Regions from separate parts of the Mus musculus genome. Here all the other regions are reported to be linked to region 1. The links are microRNA targets in miRTarBase. Many come from high-throughput screens and were not tested one by one. Region 1 holds a microRNA gene; each other region holds the end of a gene's coding sequence.
What was found. Region 1 holds the annotated microRNA mmu-miR-468-3p (UAUGACUGAUGUGCGUGUGUCUG, at 3,471-3,493, shown strand). A microRNA usually pairs through its seed, bases 2 to 8, with sites in the 3' UTR of a target mRNA and lowers its output. Matches are read on the target gene's strand: a 7mer-m8 pairs with bases 2 to 8, a 7mer-A1 pairs with bases 2 to 7 and ends in A, and an 8mer does both.

Region 1 (7,195 bases):
GGTTGTGGACTTGGGCTGGGTCATCAGGTCTCTAGCCTCAGACTGAGACTTGTACAAATGGCTTCCCTGGTCTGTGCCTTTCAGACACAGGCTGAGCCAAACTACCAAAATTGCAGAGCTTCTTCCCTGAAGAAAGCCTGACGTGGCAATGCTTAGGCCAGTTCTCCTAAGAGCTGTTGGCCCAGAGGAACTTCACTTAGATTTCAAAGGGTGCTGCAGTCAGTCTCAGGGCCAACACAGAGACTGTCTCAAGAGAAACTCTTCACACAGAGTCTCTAAGGGGCAGTGTAGGAGTATGGCAATCTATTGAGAACCAGAAACTACGTGCTGATCAGTGTCCATCTGCAGCCTGGAAAAGCTGCAGTCTTGAGACCTCAACTGCGAGAACATTGGGTGTTCTCATGGACAGAGTGCTGCCCTGGCCTGGTACCTCTTGCTTATTTCTCCCTTCTGAATGGAACTGAGCAGTTTTCTCTTGAACCTCCATTGGATTTTGCAAGTGTGAAAACTGCCCAGTGCACAGGCTCAAGGCCAAAGAATGCTCACTGTATGATTCTTAACCTATGTCTGGAAGTGTGTGGATTGCTGACTTCATGAGGACCTCTACACGAGATTTTTCCAAGTCAGAACTCAGTGGTGACTTCCCTGGGCTTGTTAGCATGGTGTTCTCTATTGCCAGAGAGGCTGCTGTTGATATGCTGGAGGAGTCCTCTAGAATAACACTTGTCCTTCCTGGAAGGGTGATGCCAATATGCTGGGAGCCACAGCTTTTAAAATGATCCTTTCCCTGGCCCAAGTTACATCTTCACATGCATCTTCTATATCTTGTACCAGCAGTGGATTGTTTGGGTGTTTTCTATTTAGGGAGCTTTAGCCTTAGTGGATGACCATGTTGTAGTGAAGCCTACCTCCTCCCAGGGATTTTCTGCATCAGCAACCATTGGCCTAGTTGGATCAGAGTCTACCTTGAGGAAATCCCTAGACAAAGCTGTTTAAAGTTCTTAATATCAGAGGGCAACATCCTAGGCCACTTCCTCCTTTTCCTTCTTCTGCAGAGAGAAAGAAAAAAGTTTTAGGCTTATAGTTCGTATCTCAGAAAAGTCTTCTCAACACGGGTATGTCCAAAGTGTAGCAGTGCTCTCTGGTTTGATTTGCTCACACAGAATCCATGCTCTTTTGCATACCCCAAGAACCATGGAGCATGGTCACCATATCCTTATTATATAGCTGTCTTTAGGAACAGTGAAGGCTCAATATTTCCATTGAAATTTTGAAATGCATTGACCTCATTGCATTTTTGTGTGTTTGTGCATGTAAGTATGGAGCTCAGTCATCAACTTTAGGTGTCAGTGTTTAGTCAGTTTTTCTGGGAGAATCTTTCATTGGATTTGAAGCTCACCCCTTTGGTAATGGTTGCTGGCCAGCACCTACACGGGATCAGCCTGTCTCGTCCTTCCCAGTGCTGGGATTACAGGTGTGCACAACTTTCCTGCTTTATTTTTATTATTATCATCATCATCATTATTGATACTTGGGTTCTGGGCCTACAGTTCAGGTCCTCACGTTGCCTGGAAAGCACATTATGGACTGACAGTCGCTCAGGTCCGCACCTTATCCTTTCTGGAAGTCTTGAACCTTCACTGTATCTGATACAACGTTCATCTATAGTTCTTCTCTGTAACTTGGTTGATATATGCATTCTGTATCCCAGGCAAGGCTGACAGGAAACATTACACTTGCTGACTGGTAGTCTTTGGTGAATTTGAACCAAAAATAAAGCCTCCAATGTTTTTCTGATGCTCACTTCCAGGGACATTTAAGATAGCATAAAATATCAAGTATTAAACTCCTTTTACTTAGGGGATGTATAATGCAGAACTGTTCAACCCTCTACTGACTATCAACACCAACTTACAGAATTCCTCAGCAAACAGCTATAAATTAGTATGAACTTGCTGACTGTGTGTATTCTTGCCTAGCTAGGGAGCAGTGCTGAGCACTACCTGCTTTTCCACAAGTTGAAACTGTTCCCAACAAGGTGCTGTGCATACTGCATATGATTGGGAAAGTCATTGACTACAGATAGGATAACCACACTAAATTTCTTGCTCATTCCCTGTGAAATACCTTATGTTCTGGTGAGAGTGTTCACCGTGGCAGGTTTCTTGCTGACAGAAAGTTCATAGATGTTTGTCCTCAAGTTGCCTTATTGAGATACAAAGGATGAATCTATAAGAATTGTCCCCATCAATTCTTGTGCTTGACTATTTTGAGGCACTGACCTGTGTCATCAAAATAAATTAGTCCATTAAAAGGACAGACTCCATTGGTGCAGCACAATCCAGTCACCAGGCACAGGCTGCATAGCTGACATACAATCCTCTCGTCTCTGTCATCTTTACACTGATTTGCCTGCCAGGTGTAGCTCACACTCTGTTGTACTGATTGAGGAGTTGGCTTTAAGGCTCTTGGCTTTAGGAAAATGATTTTCCCAGTCTGAGATACAGCACTGAAATGGCAAATGGGAACAGTTCTAATGTCAGAAAAGAAGAAGGAAGGGTGGGAGAGACAGCAGTGTCCCATGTGCACGGAGCCCCCTGCCCTGCCGTCCTGCCTGTCTGTGCTGAACTGGAGAGGCAACACCAGCTCCTTTCTCCTACCCAGTGCTCAGGCCCTGAGGCTTTTGTCTCAGCAGCTCTGTGATGCCCTGGAGACTTTAGGTCAGCCCCAGAGACAGGGAAGCCCCACACCGAGGATGTTCTTTCTTGTCCCAGTGCTAACAGATGTCTGATATTTGGTGTGCTTCCTCGTTTTCTCCACAAGGAGTCCAAAGGAACTCCAGAGTGAGTAAGATGTACAGAAATGTGCAGACATCGACATGATGCCCTGAGGGGACGTGGCCTCTGCATGCAGGGTTCTGGGGGTGCCTGGGGTGAGAAGAGGCACACCCTGAAAGCCCTTGTCTACCTAATCTCCATGCTGGAGAGAGAGAGAGAGACCTACCTTTTCAAAACCAGGCACTCAAAAGCAAACCTCAGCTATCTTAGTGATCCAGCCTGTCAATCAGCACTTGGGAGGCTGTGGATGGTGTTAGTGAACCACTAGAAGTTAGAGGAAACAGCCCTTCTCTTCTTCAAACCTGACAATGAGGACTTTGGTTCTTCTCCTGCACTGTGACTGTGACTCAGTCACAGTGGATCTCTGCTTATACCATATTTTAGGGCATTAGGTCAAAGGCAGGACAACCCTTCAGCACAGGCCATGTCAAGAGACTCAGGTTTGTCAGAGCTAGGGACATGGCACCACTGTCACCTAGTCAGATGCTTCACCCAGGGGTGCTGCTAACCTTAACGTTTGGATCGGGCACAGAACCAAACAGTATTTCCTTCTTTGTCAGAACTGTGCCTGAGAAAGACTGATAAGAAACTTGGCGTGTCGTGACTGATGTACTGATAAGAAACTCAGTGTGATATGACTGATGTGCGTGTGTCTGTCTGGGAGGACACACGTGGGGCTGGGGAGAGTCCTTGTCTTTGGGGGGGGACGAATAGAGAGGGAGGTTTATTATGATTTATGATTTATTACTATTATGATCTCAAGAGACTGAGTTCTGTAAGTCTAAATGAAAAACCAAAAAGAACCTATGTTCTAGAATGGAGCCTGAAATAGAAGTCTTGGAACTCACTTTGTAGACCAGGCTGGCCTCGAACTCAGAGATCCGCCTGCCTCTGCCTCCGGAGTGCTGGGATTAAAGGCGTGCGCCACCACGCCCAGCCTGCAACTTTTTAGATTATAGAATACTAGACACGTGGAAACCAGACACGACAGATAGCTCTCTCATGATCTTCTTTTTAACCCACATAGCCTTCTTGTTCTGGTGAATCATTTTCTGAGGACAGCCTACTCAAAATGATGAAAAGTCTGACTCAAGGAAAAGTCTTAAACTGATTAGTCTCACATATAACATGTGCTCCAATGTCATATAGGTTCTGTGTGCCTACAGCAGTGGCTAAGAAGGAAACCTCTTCCCTATGCCACTCTAAAGGCCCATGATGAGCAGAGGAATCCGGGCTCTGTTACACACTGGCAGTGGTCCGACAACTGCCTGCCTGAGCAGAGAAAGGACAGTCAAAACCTTCAGCAGTGCACACACAGCCTGCTTAATGGCCACTCCTTCTCATGAACTTGCTGAGTCATGACAACATCCCCTTTGGTCCTTGTGTACTTGACCCCAGGGAGCTGTTCTGGGTGACAATGCCAAACTCCCCCCCCCCCCCCCCCATGAGCGACAGAGAGGAGCCTAAGCACTAGGGAAGCATAAGTGGAGTATCAGTCACAGGAAAGGAAATGGAAACTGCAGGTTCTCAAGATAAAAGTCTGTTATTTAAGAGGATGGCCTCTTCTGTTTTGCCACTTCTGTGGGGCGAATGCTACATGGATGATTGTTTTTCCAAGGCTTTCGTAGCAAGCACACGAAAAGTCTTGGTTGAATTCGACTTTGGGGCCTTGCTGAGTAAAAATCTTTACTTATTCTTCTGGTGGCATGCTGGTGTCTTGATGATCGGTTACAGAGATTGGTCATTCCGAGACAGAAAAGAGGGAGACAATCTAACATTCAAACCTGGCTCGCTCCATCCCAGAAGTTTTAGCACAGAGTTCTATCTCCAGCATCTTACACTTGGTTTGGTGATACATTCTCATAATCCCAGTGTTGGGAAAGCAGGAGGATTGGAAGTTCTTAGCCTTGGTTACATAGCAAGTTTGAGGCTTTTTCTGTTTGAAGAGACCCTACCTTTAAAAGATAAAATTGTGAGAGGAAGGGAAGAAGATAAGTTGGGCCTCTTAATACCAAGGAGCAATCGTAAAGTTTTTTGTCACTTTGAAATAGAACACACTGTGGATTAAACTTGAAATAGGAAGCCTTGTGTGAGCACTCCTGATTCAAATGCAATGTGTGGAAGGGTCATTTCATAAAAATTGGATGTTTAAACATATGAATATGCAGGTCCTATTCTTTCTCCTCTCTGGGAGATGCTGTGTGCCCTGCCCTGGTCCTCAGACTCTCTTCCATCAGCTTCTGTAACAAGTTTTGGTCCATAGTTCTATCACTGAATTTCAGCCTGCACTCTGTGTCTCCTTTTATGTTGGGTCTGTGTTCTGCTGCTCTGCTGAAACTATTGATGGTTCTTAAGAACTTCCTGGTGGGGTCTGTAGGTGTCAAATAAAGAATCGTGTCCTCTGCAAACCAGATCTCTGATTTCTTGTTGCCTTTTCACTTCTGTCACTTACTGCGTAGACTTTACGTAGAATATTGAATGTAGGTGGAGACAGTGATGACTTTTTGTTCCAGACTTTAGTAAGGATAGTTTGATTTTTTTCTCATTTAGTGTAATATTGGATATTGGTTTGTAATACACAGTTGATACAATGAGATATGTTTCTTCTATTCCAAGTTTCTCTGGGGCTATTTATCATCAAGGGACACTGAATTTTATCAGTTTAGTGTATAAGCTGAGATGGCCACATGATTTCTGTCCTTGAGTCAATTTATTTGTGTCTCTGGGATTTTTTTCTCTTGGATTCTGTTTGCAAGTATTTCATGAGTAATTTTTGCATCTTTGTTCATCAATAAGTGAAAAATCAATAATTTTCTTGGGTCACCTTTGGGTGAGTTTGTTCTTACCCTAAATTGGTGAGTTATGGTCGATTTGAAGTAAAGGATTGTGTTGTAGCAATTTCCTCCAAGATTAAAATGTTCTATTCTTCAGAGAAGCTCTTTGAGGGGGAAGTAAATCCCAAAACAGCTTCAGGAAGTTCCTGAAACTGGTCCACATTCACTAGCTCCCTCCCTCCCAATAGTAAACAATAAAGATTGCCTCTCTCTGAAAAGCAAGACAACTGAGATGAACCCAGATGCCTGGAAAAACAGGAAAGCCAAGCATCCAGAAAATAAACAGACCAGCTAAGCAAAAGCAGCCTCAAAAAAAAAAAAAAAAAAAAAAAAAAAAAAAAAAAAGAAAAGAAAAGAAAGAAAGAAAGAAAGGAGGGAAAGTAGCAGAGAGCAACAGAGATGATGCCCGGAACAGAATTAGGCCAACTAAACAATCTGGAATGGACACTCTTCATTCTGCTGCATCACCTGCAGGCTGTGCAGTAAGCTCCAACTTGCCAGCTTTTGTGAGCTATCAGTGGGCTTTGAGTCATTTCTGTTCCTGTAATTAGCTACTCACCCATATTCCTGTAAGTGACCCCAATAAAACTCATTGATTGGTTCACCAAGCTGGACTTTGGTTATATCCTTTCATTTTTTAGTCATGGGCTCCCTATCTGTGGTAAATAGACACTTGTTAAATAGACATGTCCTCAGGAAAAGTCTGTCAACATTGTCGTCATCTGAGAGGGACTCGGCAGAATAGAATCAAAGATGAGCCGGGGAGGAATGAGGGCGTTGTGCTGACTCTGGGGAGCAAGCCATGCAACCTAGGCTAAGCAGCCTGTCAGAAGGAGCACTCCTGGAGGACGTTGGGATACATTCTCCATTTCCTGTATGACATGTTAGTGTGCTTTTTTGCAATGGGAGCAGTTGCATGATTCTTGCTTGGGGTTGTGAGACAGGCAACTGAGGCTGAGCCATCAGGAATAGGAGTGTCTGTGGGAGGAAGGACAAAATGGCAGTCTTCATCTACTTGCTATGGGGTGACATGCCTACTTGAGTCTACCATGTGAATATGGAGATGCCCGGAAATGAGTTAAAAAAACTTAAGAGGAAATTTTGCAGCCTTCAAATATGCATTAGGATGGAGATTTTCAGCAAGCAGACACAGAGGTTGCCTGGTCTCTGGTTGTATGTAGTAAGAAATGCATCTGTGGCTGATATAATGGCCACACAGGAAACTGTGAAGGAGGGGATAACACAAGAAAGAGATACAGCTAGCATCCTTCACAGAAGCTTATAATATGACAATTAAGTTAGATAAGCAAGAGGATGGGAGAATGGTTATATTCATCAAAAGGTAACGCTATCGATGAAGGTGGTTTGCCTATCCAGGATGTGGTAAATGGAGAGGCAACAGCTATGGCTACAGCTGCAGTACCAAGCCAGGAACTCTTGGAGCCAAGGATCCAGCAGGTGTGGCAGGGGAAAGCAGGGCCACATTCCCTCTTGTACCTAGGGAGGTCAAGGCTAATTCAATCC
Region 2 (7,195 bases), not on the chromosome of region 1:
AATTCAGAGGTCAGTGGGTCCTAATATGCTCTGGTGCCTCCACTGCCAGCCTCCTAGATTCCTGGGCAGGGGTGAACGGGTCAGGGTGCCTTCTAGTTGGACTTCCTGCTGATGATGCTACTAGTCTGAGTCTAGCCAAAATGTATAGACAAGAAGTCAACACGGTAAGTCTGCCTAGCTCTTCCCAGAGGTCAGGGTAAAGAGCCAGTGCTATTTTCTACTCAGGCAGTAGTCCTGAGAGATTGTGGTCACGTGGGAGGGGACTGCAAAATCAGAGGCAGGCTCTTTCCAGAATCAGGTGGTAGTGTTACCTATGGGATGGGTAATATTTTTGGATAAACAGTGTGTGACTAGCTTCTAAATTTATTGTAAATGACAGCTTATACAGTATGCTTTTAATTTTCATATGGTGTATCTAAGAGGAAAGATGACAGATACTTTCCAGTACTCTGAAGACATAAGTAGTTTGATGAGTTTTTGCTGTGACTGAAGAGAAATTATCTCCTTTTCCACAGGCCTTTCCACAGAAGAAAACCTGTCTGCCTCCGTCACCAGCCAGCCTGGTCATCAGAAAGAAAACGTCATACCTTTACTCGTGACTAGCAATTCTGATCAGTTCCTGACAACCCCAGATGGTGATGAGAAGGACATAACACAGGAAAATTCTGAGTTAAAGCACAGATCCTCAAAGAAAGACTTGTTAGAAATAGACAGGTTCACAATTTGCGGGAACCGGATTGACTGAGTTTGTGACTAATGAGATGAAGATGTCAGGCCCCGGGCCACAAATTCTGGGTGCCAGGACACTTGCTAAAAATGGCACTTAAATATTTATTTAAAAACTTAAATTATTAATGGCAAGCAAATCTTAGTATCTTTCTTCCAGTAATGTGGCCTTGCAGAAGGGCAGATCACGGAGCAGCGGTGGCCTCTGGCCCTGACTCTGGATGCTGACACTTGAACACTTCCTCCTGCGTGGCCAACAGCAGTGCTGCTTCCAGCACCTGGCCAAGCACTGCAGAAGCTCCTTTCCTTCGTCAGCCTGGGCTTCCAGATCGTCGGGTTCTCCTCAAGGCCTCTTCAGGATAAGGACACACCTGGGAAACTGTGACGCTTCTACCATGAGTTCCCTTTCCAGCCTCAGACTGTCTCCACACACTCTTTCCAGACTTGACTCCATCTGCCAAAGCATTGACAAGTTGCTACATCTAAGTCCAGATGACGTTCTTACCACCAGAGTCATCCTTGGCAATACATCTGAGCTAGTCAGAACAGAAGGCCACTTAACTACAACGTGGTGAATAGCAGCGTCCTATGAGAAACAGTGAGCTCTTGGCCCAGTCATTTACTTTATAAAGGTCATGTGTCACTGAGAAATGCTTCCTGCTGCCTCGGTTACTCAGGGCAGAGTGTGAGCTGTGTGACACGGGCCCAGTGACAATAAAAGGCACAGAGCAATGTCAACAGAGTAAAAGGCACAAGTGCAGTGTGACCTGGCTTTGCTTTAAGGCTAATTGCTTCATTGGTTATTCCAAGTTAAAGGATTTGGTGTTGAATTGGCGAATAGCCATTGCATAGCTGTTGCTAGTGCCAGGCTCGTTTGTTGGGTTTTGTTTTGGTTTGAGTAACAGTTTTAAAGTATTCCCAGCAGATTGAGCAGTGTCACCTTGCTGGGCTTGTAAAATGCATTTGTCTGCCTGTGGGTCTGTTCTGTGTGGGGAGGAAACCCTCACATGACCGACCGACCGTAAGTAGAGTGTTTGGGACACTGTAACTAGCAACCAAAAGGTGCTCTGGGGTTTTCATCTGAGATAAAGATGTTATTCCTGCTTCATTACTACCTATTAGCATCCCAGGACAAATTCTCGACACCCTACTTTATCTTAAGAGTCTGTTCTGCACTTCTCTTAGACAGAAAGTTGACCATTTCTGATCTGAACTGTCTAAAAGATGGTACTCTTAACTTCATTTCCTATGCTGTCTTCTGAAACTCAGCTCTCATGCAAATATTTGGGCACAGATGGCAAATTTTAAATGGTTTGCTGTATCCTGGATAAGTATAAAACTAGTTTGGATGCTTTGGCTTATGCATTTGAGATTCAGGAGGGTTTCTAATGTTTTGCACTAACAGAATCTAAAGATAGCTGTTGGAGATACTATATATTTATGCCTTGTAAAGCCAGGAAGCAATTTTAAGTTTAAAATGAACATTTTTATTCTTTTGTGTATGTTTTAGTGGGGCCCCACTTTTAAACTATTCTTTTTACCGAAAGAGAGTGTCCATGGAAACCAGGAGCCGTGTGGAAAAAGCTTTGCCAAACGCAGCCCTGGTCAGAACAAGAGCACGACCTAGGTGTATCTTTCTGTTCCGCTTGAGTTTTCTGTTTCCGCGCTGTTCTCTGAAGATTGCATTTCCTTTGCAGATGCTCTTGGGAGTGTGGATGATACTCACTTCTGTCATAATGGCATTCAGTACTAATTTTATAAGTGCATCTTGTGTGAAACTCAATAAATTCAATTTTATAATCTTTTTTAAAAAGGTCACTGAATTTCTTGTGGCAACGATTACTATTATATTTGTTGGAATGGATATCTCATTGAGAGATTTCTTATTTAAGCAGAACTTATTTCTAGTTTACAAATAATAGGGTTGTGTTAAGTATGTTTAGTTACTCTTGCCCTAAATGATAAAAAAAAAATTGCTCTTTTGTCTTTGAAAGAATAGCCTGCATGTTGGTCATAGACCATTTAGTATCTCTTATCACATGACAACATTTGCATTCTATGGTGCATCTTGATGTCACAGTGTCTTCTTGTCATAATATGGGAGTCACAGTCAAGACAATACTTTGGTTTTTAAATAGTCTTAGTATGGTGCACGGTACATCAGACCCATTTTAGCTTTTCCTACAGGTCAAAGTACCAAATGCTATTGATGAATGTATCTTGGCTCCCTGTGGTCTTGTGCCAGCATTTGAAAAAAGTATGCTTGAATCAGCTTCTCAGCATCTGCCTCACCCACTCTGTGCCACCTGCCCTGCCACCTCTGCTAGCTCAGCAGAGATGAGTTCACAAGATTGCCTTAAAGTACTTTATTTTCATATGCCTCAGCTCTAAGTGTTTTTCCCACAGTGATTTCTTAGTTGTTTCCTCTGTCAGGAACTGCCCAGAGCAAGGGATAGCAGGAGACAGCAAGGTCTCTGCCTGCTGGACACAACTGGACATTGGTCGAGTATGTATGGCAGACCAAGGATAGCACAGTTCACGTCGTGGTGTCAGGCTGATCTTTCCCTGTGCTGTGTGCTTAAGGTCATCTGGTAGCAGTTTCCCAGAGCTTTCTAAAAAGGGGTGAAGAGAGAGGAAAAGAATTTTCACCAAATACTGCTAGTTGCCTGCCAGACTCTGGCCTTCCTGCATGCTGTGTACAGGACTGCAGCCAAGCTTCATGGCCTCTCACTGTGAGTCTAGAGGTTAATATGCCATTTTCAAGTCTATGCCCATCATACTGTAAGTCACCTTCGAGTCTGTCCACTTCGCACCCTTGGAACCCCGAGAAGCTGGTAGCTATCCCTAGCCATGTATATTGCACAGCACCCCAGAGTAGCAGAGTCAAGGTCCTGAGGCCCAGGATGCCTGTGAAAAGGAATATGGCTGATTGGCTTAGAATACTCAAGACTCTAATGAAAGAGAAAGAAATTCGGAAACACCTGTGTTCTCAGCCTCTGATAGGCAGGTCTGTGGCAACATTAGGAAAAGGAGATGAGCGTCAGACCCCTCTGATACTCCGGCTGCGGCAACACTCCCTGTGGACAGTAGAGTCCCTGTTTACCGTGAGTCAGTAGAGGAAACAGGAAGGGCCGTTACTCCCTGTATTTCAGAGCTGACACCCCTCATGCCCTGGAGATGAACATTAAAGTCTGATTTGTTCACAGACTTAGTGAGCAGGTATTTCTTGCCCTTTATGTCAGGAAAGAATGTGTAAGAGTTTACATATAAGGAGCCAGCAAGATGGCTCAGCGGGTAAACGCACTTGCTGCGAAGCCTGACAATATGAATTCAATCCCCAGACTCCACACTGTGGAAGAAGTGAAACAACTCACACAAGTTGATCGCTGACCTACAAACACACATACACACACACACACACACACACGGGGGGGGGGGGGGGGGGGAGGGGGTGCGCAGGGCACAGCAAGAAGTAGAATGTTAATGAGCCAAGAAAGCGGTAAAAAAATATCTCAGAAGCCAAGGATGCCATGCCAGTGGTTGTCGAAAATAGTCCTGTGGTACAGTTCAGTGTGGTATGTGGTATTCATTAAATGCCTCAGACATCCAGGGTGTTTTAGAGCAGTGGTTCTCAGCCTTCAAAATGTTACAACCCTTTATACAGTTTAATTCAGTTCTTCATGTTGTGGTAACTACAACCATAAAATTATTTTTGTTGCTACTTCAGAACTATAATTTTTGCTAGTGTTCTGAATTGTAATATAAATAGCTATGTTTTCCAGTGGTCTTAGGTGACCCCCGTGAAAAGGTCACTTGACCCCCCCCCCTCCAAAGGGGTTGGGCCCCACAGGTTGAGACCCACTGATTTAGAGTGTTTTCTTGTAAAACACCTAGTGAGGGAAGGAGTGTCAGTGATGAGGGAGGTGTGAGTTACTCAGGAGAAATCGGCATGGTGAGAAGGTTTCAGTGATTCTCAAATGTTTGTTTCAAGGATGGGGAACGGTGAGTTCCTAGGGGCTGGTGAACAAACAAGACATGACTGATTAAACATGAGCAAGGTAGTGAGGGATGGGGTCTTCTGCCGGCCGGTGAGGCTGCTCTTGAGATGTCGTTACCGGAAGAGAAGAGTGAGCATCAGTTGGTAGAGTTTTGCTTTGAACATACAACCTCATCTAGCAATGAGGAAACCAAGGAGTTCATGAGGGTCCTGTCATCACAGGAACGTACATACTGGGAAAGTCAGAGATGCTGTTCTAGCGAGTTAACAAGGCCAGTGCAATGCAGACAGGAAAGCTCGTAGGCATTACTGTCCCAGTTACTTTGAGGCACGAAAATGAACAAGTGCTGCTGTGTGGTTGTGAGTGGATCTTGTCTAGTGGGTAAGGGAAGTGGCAGCTAAATGCACACCTGACAACGAGACACTCTTGTCCCTGTCTGCAGACACTGATCACAGGAGACCACCTTAGATGGTGCTGCATCCCTTGTCCCTCAGCTCCTGATAGAGACCAACAGTACTGCTTGCAAGAATTTAAAAAGAGCCACTGTGAGGGACGTGCACTTAAATTTAAGATGCCTTGTTAGATTAGGGCTGAGGGTAAGGGGAGGAAGGGCAAGGTAGTTGTCACTGAAGAGGGAAGAGCACACAGTATGTCTACAGCACAGCCTTGGCCCCTATACACACATAAACACACGCTGTGTGTGTGTGTGTGTGTGTGTGTGTGTGTGTGTGTGTGTGTATGTGTATGTGTGTTGAGAGCCAGCCACTACTGAAACCACAGAGAGGAAGGCAGTTCTGGTTGGAGGTGGCAGGGACTCTATATGGAGACAGGGCTTGAGAGCTCTTAGTGCCTGGCTGAGGATTCTGCCCCTGATTCCGCTCAGAGGCTGGACAGAGGCGAGCTCCTGTGGGATGTTAAGTTCACGTATACAGAGGATAAGTGAAGAAGCTACTTTGGACACTTTCAAGTACTATGATTAGGTCAATGTGTTAAGAAAGGCAGGCTGCTGACCTCCCAAAGGACTGATACCTGATAGCTGTTGGAGGTTTGTGTGAAGGCACAGTGTGGTTCTCAGCTGCTACATCTTCATCCCCTTACGGAGTGCATGCTGTCGTCCCCATCCTACAGCTAGGAACGCAATCTGGAAAGGAAGAGTAATGTGTGCCCACCACACAGGAGACAGAGCAGGACCTTGAACCCCTTTCTACAGTCTTGCCCTGTGCCATCAGCTATGTTCTACAAGAGAAGGGTTGGGAAAAGGAGGCCCTGTATGGAAACTGCTGGGGACATCCACACCAGCCTAAGGACCAGAGAAGCTAAGATACTGTTGGTGTGGGTACCCAGTGCAGTGCCAAGGGATCAAGGAGGCTAGTGGGTTGTCTGCATGGAATGCAATGGGCTCATGCAGACCTGGAGCCATACTATGGCAGTGTCGACTCCAGACTGCTCTGAAGTCCTGTGCCTTCCAATATCCCTTGAGAACTCCAAAAAGAGGATCCTGACCCCAGACTTGGTCCATTTACTTCAGCGCTGACACCATGTGGAAAGCCAAACTTTTATCTGATTTTGTTTCTCATTGTCGAGCACATGATGAACCCTCTTCAAATCTGCCGTGCTCCAGGAGTGACTCCAGGGTCAAGCTGGCCTTGCTCACGGGCCATAGTGGAGGACAAACATTTCTATGAGACCAAAGAAAGACTATGGTCTGTGAACCCCATGCTGAACACCAGAATGAGCTGAGCAGAAGGCTGGGTTGCTAAAGCTTTGGTAAGATGAAATAAAACCAAAGCAGTTCAGGTTCCACCCAGAGTGCTCAGCTGGCTACTTTTACAGAGGATACCTCAGTCCAGAATGCAAAGGTTTTCTTAGCTTCAAGTTTACATATCCCAATCCATGGTCAATTTTCCCTATTGCTTTGGGCCTGTAGTGAAGCAGCTCCTGATGGCAGGAACATGAGGCAAAGCAAGGCTGCTTACCTAACAATCAGAGAGCTAAAACTAAGAGGAAAAGGCATATGAGTTTCACAGTCACTTTCAAGGGCCTGCCTCCAAAATACCGTGCATCTCCAAGTACAACACACCTCCCACAAAGATCCACATTCCCAACAACAGCACCAACTGGGGACCAGGCCTTCGAGAGATATCTGAGAGTCAAGGCCATACTACCACCTTGAATTGAAAAGTACAAAAATATGGCCTCCTTTCCCTTGCTGTGTGATTCATTTTGCCCACAAACATAAGCTTAGAGACTACTTAAGCTTTGAGCTGGTGGAAGTTCCACTGTTGAAGCACCTCTCACAAAACATCCAACTCTTCTCTGAGGTAAACATCTTCCCAGTACCTCTCATCACTTGTCTCCTAGCTTTGTCTTGCAGGGTTAGTCATGATGTTTAAGCCAGTACTTACTAGACTTCTACTACAGCCACCACGCAAGGCTCCTGTAATCCAGTCCCTCATTTCTTCTGCACGGTG
Region 3 (7,195 bases), not on the chromosome of region 1:
CTTTCTCAAGTGACATCCACCTCCCTCCCCTCTGGGTGGAGAAGAGGGAAGGAAACAGGAAGTTCTGCACCATCCCTAGTGTGAGATGGGAGGCGATGTCTGGGAAGGTGAGCCCCGATCAGTAGCCGAGAAGGGAGCAATGATGGACCCAGGAGGCCTGTAGGTAGAGCGGACACCAGAGGACAATGGCTAGGTTTTCTTATGGCAGCTGGCAAGGACTCATGATAGCAGCACACTGCCCTGGGTAGGAATAACAACTGGCTTGCTTAGCCATCCTTTGTGGACATCTGGGGGATTCATCTAGACCTGGACCTTGTAACCTCCTACTGCTGTCTCTTAAGAATAAGCCCTTCCGTGTGGAACATTTCCTCTGAACGTGAAGAAGGATCATGAGAGCACACAGTAGGTGACATTGTGATTGATCTACAATATAGAGGCTGAGATTCTGTAGCTGACATTTCAGTCAAGACCTGAGACTCCACTCTGCAGTTGTCAGTCACCCAAGCAATCATGGGGTGCTTTCTGAGCATGGACCTCTCCTGGCCACTGTGCAGGAGGTTGGGTCAGGAGTGGGCATGTCTGAGAATGAGTGTTCCTTCTCCTTTGGGGAGACCTGGGTAGGAGGGAGATGGCCAGGTAGTGGTGGCCAGGGTGGGGGTGGGGCAGGGGGGGTGTCTAGGAGTGGAGGCCAGGAAGGGACATAGCAGGGTAGAGGCAGAGGGGCTGCACCTCTGGGGGGATTTGGACTAATGAGGGTTCTGAGCAAGACCAGGGCATCAGAACTAACACTGGCAGCCAGCCGGCTCTGCATCACCACAGAAACTTTTCTTTGCTCACAGGTTGCACGTTCATTGAGGAGAATTTTACTTTGAAGTGCCCCAAACATAAGGTAGGTGAGCAGGCTCCCCAGAGAAAGCATTCCCTACCTAACCCAGTTTCTCCCTGCCCTGCCAGAGAGTAGGGAGGGGTGCAGGCTGGGTCCTAAAGTTACTTTGCCAGTCTAGGGTGATTGCACAGTTCTTGTGGAAGGACAGGGGTGGCAGCGGCTGGTGATAACAGTAACGGGCTGTCCCTCCCACAGAGGCTGCCGTTGTAATCCCCGTGTGGCCGAAACTCCGAGGAAGAAGAGCTGCGCCCACAGCCGGTCCTTGATCCCATCCAGGGTCTAGGTTCCGGCTGCCTTGGGCGCTGGCGTGAGGCCTAGGTTGCGAAGAAAACCGGGGCCAGGCTTGGCGAAGGCAGGCCAGGGAGTGGCCAGACCCAGGGCACAATGTCTCAGGCGGGGGGCAAGTCCCCTGCAAGTTCTGAAAAAGACGTGGCATGCAAGCTGTGCCCCTGGGAAGAGGCTAGGCTGCTGGCTCAGTGGACGACGTGGGGCAGACCCAAGCCTTTCTTAGAGGCCCAGCGGCGGGGGACATGGCTCAGCACTTGGCATGGATCTGCCCAAGATCGTGGCAGCCTGGGCTCAGGCCAGTCTATCCTTGATGCGGGCTGGCCTGGGGTGGCGCCCTATGGCTTCTGTTTGTCCCCTTTCCAGTCTTCCACCCCACTGTTGGAGCCCCGTCTGGAAGCCTGAGGAGACTGGGCCTGGCTACCCTCTAGCAGATGTGCAGCTGTCCCAGACAAAACACCAACATGGGATTCAGGGACTGCCACTCAGCTCACTCGGCTCATAGGCGGAGACAGTGCTAGATTCGTGTACAAACCTGTGTACCCCTCTATATATATGTTACATAGAATGTATATATGTTGGGAACATGCTCGCTTCTGTGTGTCGCTGCTGTGCGTCGTGTGCTCCACAGCACAGAGCCCTAACCTGGCCTTGGCTGGGGTCGGGGCCAAAGTGATGCCCCTTCCCCGAGCAACTACCACCATCACCACCACCACGGCCAGCCCCCACCTGTCCGTTTGTGTCCTCAGCTCTGTCCACGCTTTAATAGGCCTGATGCAGCCCCTTCTCCCTGCAACGTTCTGTACATATGACTGTAAAATGGTAAACGTGTGTATTATATCTGGCCTCGTTATATAGTGTATATATATGTATACATATACATATATATAATATATATGAAGACTGTAAATGTTAAGACAACTAGTGTTCTTATTAGTATATTGCTTCACACTGAAGATTGTGTGTATCGAGCTGTTTCTAAAAGATGTTTATTTTCCTTAAGAGTTAAAAAAAAAAAAAACAGTCATTGCATTCAGAAAAAAAAAAGTCAATAAAGATACCACGATTGTTTTGGAAGTGTGCGGCCTGTGGATGCCGACCAGATTCCCTAAGGGGTTGGGAGTAGAGGGAAGGGGCCGGGGGACACAAACAGGGTTCCCAGTCTACTCACTAATGGGCCCTGATCCTTCGCCTATGCTGGTGCACAGAGATGACTAGGGAACTGTGTGTGTTTCTGGATATACGGGGTTATTACCTGGTGGAGGGCTGGAAGGCAAAGGAACAACTGAGACCATCAAGGCCCCTCAAGGGTTATGAGCCATGAGATCAGAGGGCCAAGGTGGCTCAACATAGCATCACCAAGCCAGCAAATACACCTTACAACAGATGGGAAGTCCGGCTTCCCAAAGGACAAGCCAGGAAAGATAGCAATCAGCTGAGGCAGACATCTGCCTACCCAGATAAACAAAACTGAAGTTATAAATAATTTCATTTTTTAATATTCTGTACAAAATTTCTCAACCTATGAAAATAAAGTTTGCAAAAGTCAAAGTAGTACATGGGCCTGCCCTGGAGCCAGGCCCAGCCGGATCTACACTATGTACAGGTCTCCCAGGGTGAGCCTCAGCTAGGGAAAAGCCACTAAGGTGCCTACAGAGCAAGAGGGTGCCATCGGGCCAGTGCAGCCTCTGCAATTTCCAGATCTGCCACTAGAGGTCGGCATGGTCCTGATTGCTTGTCAGGCTCACCCTCTGGAAGACCACAGCCAATGACAAAGGTCCTCAAGGGAAAGCTTTGGGGTCTAGCTGGAAGTGACGGTGGTTCCGCCGCCCAGGCGCAGGAGCATCTGCTGGCAGTCCAGCAGTAGCCGGTGATCGCCAAGCTTCTCTACGGTGCGTGCCGCCTCGGCCAGCATGCTCATTCGCTGCCCAGGAGCCGACAGGAAGGCAGGGGGCAGATAGCAGGATGCCAACAGCAGGGCCTCGGTGTGCTCCCGCCATGTGGGCCGTGGCTCCAGCTCAGCTGTAGTGCCTGCACAGATCACATCAAAGGGAGGGAGGCTTAGGTCTGGCCGAGCCCACACCCCATGTGCAGGACAAAGTAGCTGAGCTCTTCCACGTGGAACTCCCAGTCTGGCTGCTTTCTCCACTTGGGCTGGGCACACAGGGGGGCTCAGCTTCTTTCCTATGACTGCCTCAAAAACTGTCATCCCCGCTGATTTCTGTAAGTCAGCTCTCAGTATGTCTCACTAGACCAAGACGGCCCCTGACCCTCACCAGCCCTGTAAGCACAGCCACCTCCTCACCTCCTTTGCCACTGGAACCTGCCCTCCTCCTCAGACTGCGATCCAGGAGCTGGTGTGTCCGGGCAGGACTTGCTCCTGCCATCAGCCGAGCTGTGGCCTCATGTAGGAATACCTGAGAGGCAAGGAGTAGTCACCCGTTTCAGATTTACTGTCCCCCCACTCCCGGCTTCCTACCTCATGCCCCTCAGTGTGAGAACAGTGGGACTCACCCTCCTCATAGCAGGCCGGAAGCTCTGTGCCAACCGCCGCAGGCTGCTCAGGTCATGTTGGAAACCACGCAGCTCCAGAGCAGAGGCCTGGGGTCCATTGCTGGTACCGTGAGCTACCTGGACTGAAGCTGGTGACTGCTGCCGCTGCCACAGACTGGTACGGGCCACAAGAAGTAGATCACACAGGAGCAGCTGCATGGCCTGGGATAGCAGGCAGGGCAGAGGGAGGAGTTTCCCTATGGACATCAAGCTTTCCCTAGCTGAGGGCCACCCTGTCTCAAGGCAGCGTCAGTAAGGGCAGGAAGTCCACAGCACTGGGGCCTGACTCCAGGTTGCATCACTGAAGCACTGCATCTGCCTCAACACATGCACCGCCTCCTGCTACAAGCCCGCAGTCTTCCCAACAATGGCTCCCAACAGGAACCCTGCCAGTCTGCTCCCCACACCCTCCTTCCTGGTGGTGGCGAAACAGTAAAGCCCCCTCTCCCCAAGACTTAAGCCGTCGTTAAAACTGAGGTAAATCCATTTAGCATTATTCTGTACTAACACCAAGAACCTGGAAATGGACAGCTGTGACCCTGGCCTAGACAGGAACCCACCCTACCCCTCACCTTGTCAATGGAACTGCCAGTTGGTGTAGAGGCTAAGCTGTCCCGCAGGTACCCACTGGCCTTCTCACAGATGGCCAGGCTGGCTGGGCTAGATTCCACCTTTCTGTGGTCCAGCAGAGCCCGGGCAGCCTTGAAGGAGTACAGAGCTGCCCTGGGCAGGGGTCTCCTGTTGGGGCCATGGCAGACATAGGAAGTTAGACCAAACTACAGCCCTCCCTGAGATCTCCCGCCACGGTTCTAGACTCCTGGGAGGACAGCACTGTCCTCCTGTACAGATATTTAAGCAAAGTACTGCGGGGCTGACTGGGCGGGAGGGACCTGGCTGGGGACTCACTCAGTGTCCTGCAGCACCTGGGGGATATGCTCTACCAGTGGGTACAAGCGCTCAGCTGCCTCTTCATCCCGCCTCAGCCAGTGGATCACCACAGCTGTCAGTGAGGCCCACCACTTGGCCACTGGGTCTGGGCCTACAGAAGAGGGAAAGGTGCTTGACTTTCAGCCACACTGTATCTGGGTCTGGCAGGAGTCAGGACGGGGGTCTGGAGCTCACCAGTGGTGGCAGCCATGCTGGAGCTGACAGAGAAACTGCAAGCAGGAGCCCCGGCAGCATCAGAACAGCTATTTAGCAACTGCAGATATCCAAGGGCATCTGAGAACTCCCTGAGGCAGGAGAGAGCTGTCAGGACACATAGCAGCAGTCTCGGGTTCTGGGTGAAAATGGCTCTCACCAACCGTCCAACCAAGCATAGTCTGACCCTAGGATTCTACAAAAATACCACCTGTCTGGCTGATAGGGGAAAGCAAGACCCAGAGAGGCTCTGAGAACAGAGTCTGGCTACTCAAGAGGTTGGACAAGGCTTTCCCAGATGCCCTTGTTGTAGGTCTTGCCTGGGAGTGACACAGACAAACTCACCTGTCTCCGTCAGCTGCCCCTGGGCTGGGCTGAGCAATACAGTTCAACGCTCGCTCTAGGAGATGTTCACGGAATAGCCGGGTCACCTGGGCCAGCGGATCCACTGTGAGAAGGGTGAGCAGAACAGAGGTTAGGCACCCTCCTCTCTACAGTCCCCTCCCACACCAATGCCTTAATAAGCTGGGGCCCCAACCCAGAGCTACTTCCTAGTTCCAAACCCTAACAGACAGACAGTGATGGGTCCCTGCCCTCATAAGCTTGATGGGGAAGAAGGGGTAGGCTGTGCACAAGCTACACACTGGAAAGGAGAGCCTATTTAGTCACATACCCATGGCCCTGACTCTGCTCAGGACTCTTCCTAAGACAACAATGGTGTCCCCTAGAGTCACCTCTCATGTCCCCCATTGTCTGCTGACCCATACTGCTTCCTGCTTCTAAAGAACCTTGGCAAAATCCAGCAAAAGCCACCTCATAGCCACCTCACAGCCCCAACCCCACAGGGCAATATAAGCTGGTAAGTGAGGGCATTCAGAGAAGAGGGGACAGTGCAATGTGACATAGGGACAGGGATGAGGCAGGGGTAAGAACAGAACGAGAAAGCACCTGGGTTCCCAGCCACGCTGTACAGGCTCTCCGGGGGGGCACCGTGCACGGCCCAGTCCCCGTCCACAAAGAAACGGTGACCTACAGGGTGGCAGAGCCACTGCATGGCAAGAGGCACCGAGCCGCTCTGTGCTAGGCAGGCCTGGCGGGCGCTGCTCAGGAAGAAACGCTGTAGGGAAGGAACAGAACTGTCACACTGGCTCCCAGTTGGATCCCAGGAGGGCCTACAGCCCACCTGCTAACCACTGCCACATCCTGTTTAGCCCCTTGCCCTGGAAGTGACAGGTTGAGAGTTGTAAAGAGGAGCCCCCAGCCCTGTCCCCATCAGCCTACTCACTGTCAAGAAGTGCAGGGCTCTTGGGAGGCTGGTTTTGACCCTCAGGGCCGCTGCCACATAGATCTCTGCCAGTGTTGCCATGGAGATAGCATCTCCTGCGCACTCAGCCAGGTTGAGGGCACTTAGTGCCAGGTTAGAAGCAGCAAGATGTCCTCCTGTGTACTTGCCTGCAAAGTGGGTGAGGCATGAGGACAGGAGGTGACGGTGTGGTGGGGACCCTCGGAGCCCAGCTCCCAGCCAGCCATACCCATGGCATGCAGCTGGTGCAGCTTATGGTAGACAACAGCCGCATCCCGGGCACTGGCACGGGCATCCTTCCTCAGCCCACGGTCCCTCAGCAGGCCCCCGGCCTGGCCTGCCAGCCAGCGGCCCACCCAGAGACGCTGGAGCAGGTGGCGGATGAGGTTCCAAAGCAGACTGCAGGCCAGATCCAGGTTTGAGGTGGGCAGGGGCCGGCCCAGCGCTTGCAGGGCCAGCCACAGCTGTTGAGCAGCCTGGGGGAAATCTCCCTAGAGAAAAGATTCTCAGTAAGAAAAATGGCAGCAGGGATGGCAGCAGGGTACCCCCTTGTCTGGGCCCCTAGAGTCAGGAGCTCTGAAGGCGGGGGATGAGACAGACTGGAGAAAATGAAGTGAGCAGAGGCACCCAGCACCTTCCAGGCCCGGGGCCCCACCCCGCCTCCTCAGGGTCAGCCCCTTACCCGGGCCAAATCCAGGTCAGCTTGTTTGCGATGTCTCCAGAAGTGTACAGCCGGGCCAGAGTGTGGCCTAGTCACAGGTTCCCCATAGACAAAGAGAAGAGCCAAGCAGGCCAACACTAGTAGTCCATTGGCCAGCCAGACTAGGGGTGGCAGCAACCACTGGGTCCAATTAGAGCCATCTACAGGCAAAGAAAAGGTCTGAGAACTCAGTTCTCCGGAAATCCAAAGTCCCAAAGGTCTCTGCCGACAACACCTGGGCTGACCTGACTCACCTCTGCTCTCTGCCTCCAGCATGCTGCGCCCAGAACTACGGTGTGTACCCGTAGCATCAGAGGGAGTGAGAATG

Region 2: the mRNA of Tapt1 is a reported target of mmu-miR-468-3p. Seed matches in the 3' UTR shown: 7mer-m8 at 1,339-1,345.
Region 3: the mRNA of Rai1 is a reported target of mmu-miR-468-3p. Seed matches in the 3' UTR shown: 7mer-m8 at 2,193-2,199.

Annotation. Positions count from the first base shown.
Region 1 is chr6:81,892,900-81,900,094 of GRCm38, reverse strand. It overlaps Mir468 (microRNA 468), which reads left to right and starts at 3,419; the gene lies at 3,419-3,496. Mir7232 (microRNA 7232) reads left to right here and starts at 4,432; the gene lies at 4,432-4,505.
Region 2 is chr5:44,170,503-44,177,697 of GRCm38, reverse strand. It overlaps Tapt1 (transmembrane anterior posterior transformation 1), which reads left to right. Exons shown (of 14, transcript NM_173764.3): 14 at 516-2,539. The coding sequence ends at 745. Among named protein-coding and RNA genes, the nearest start is that of Gm42427, 33 kb to the right of the region's middle.
Region 3 is chr11:60,196,950-60,204,144 of GRCm38, forward strand. It overlaps Rai1 (retinoic acid induced 1), which reads left to right. Exons shown (of 6, transcript NM_009021.2): 5 at 840-889; 6 at 1,082-2,246. The coding sequence ends at 1,096. It overlaps Srebf1 (sterol regulatory element binding transcription factor 1), which reads right to left. Exons shown (of 19, transcript NM_011480.4): 8 at 7,122-7,195; 9 at 6,850-7,028; 10 at 6,397-6,658; 11 at 6,150-6,316; 12 at 5,813-5,981; 13 at 5,210-5,312; 14 at 4,847-4,956; 15 at 4,631-4,763; 16 at 4,297-4,462; 17 at 3,686-3,886; 18 at 3,477-3,588; 19 at 2,135-3,202. The coding sequence ends at 2,973. Mir6921 (microRNA 6921) reads right to left here and starts at 3,668; the gene lies at 3,589-3,668. It overlaps Mir6922 (microRNA 6922), which reads right to left and starts at 5,378; the gene lies at 5,313-5,378.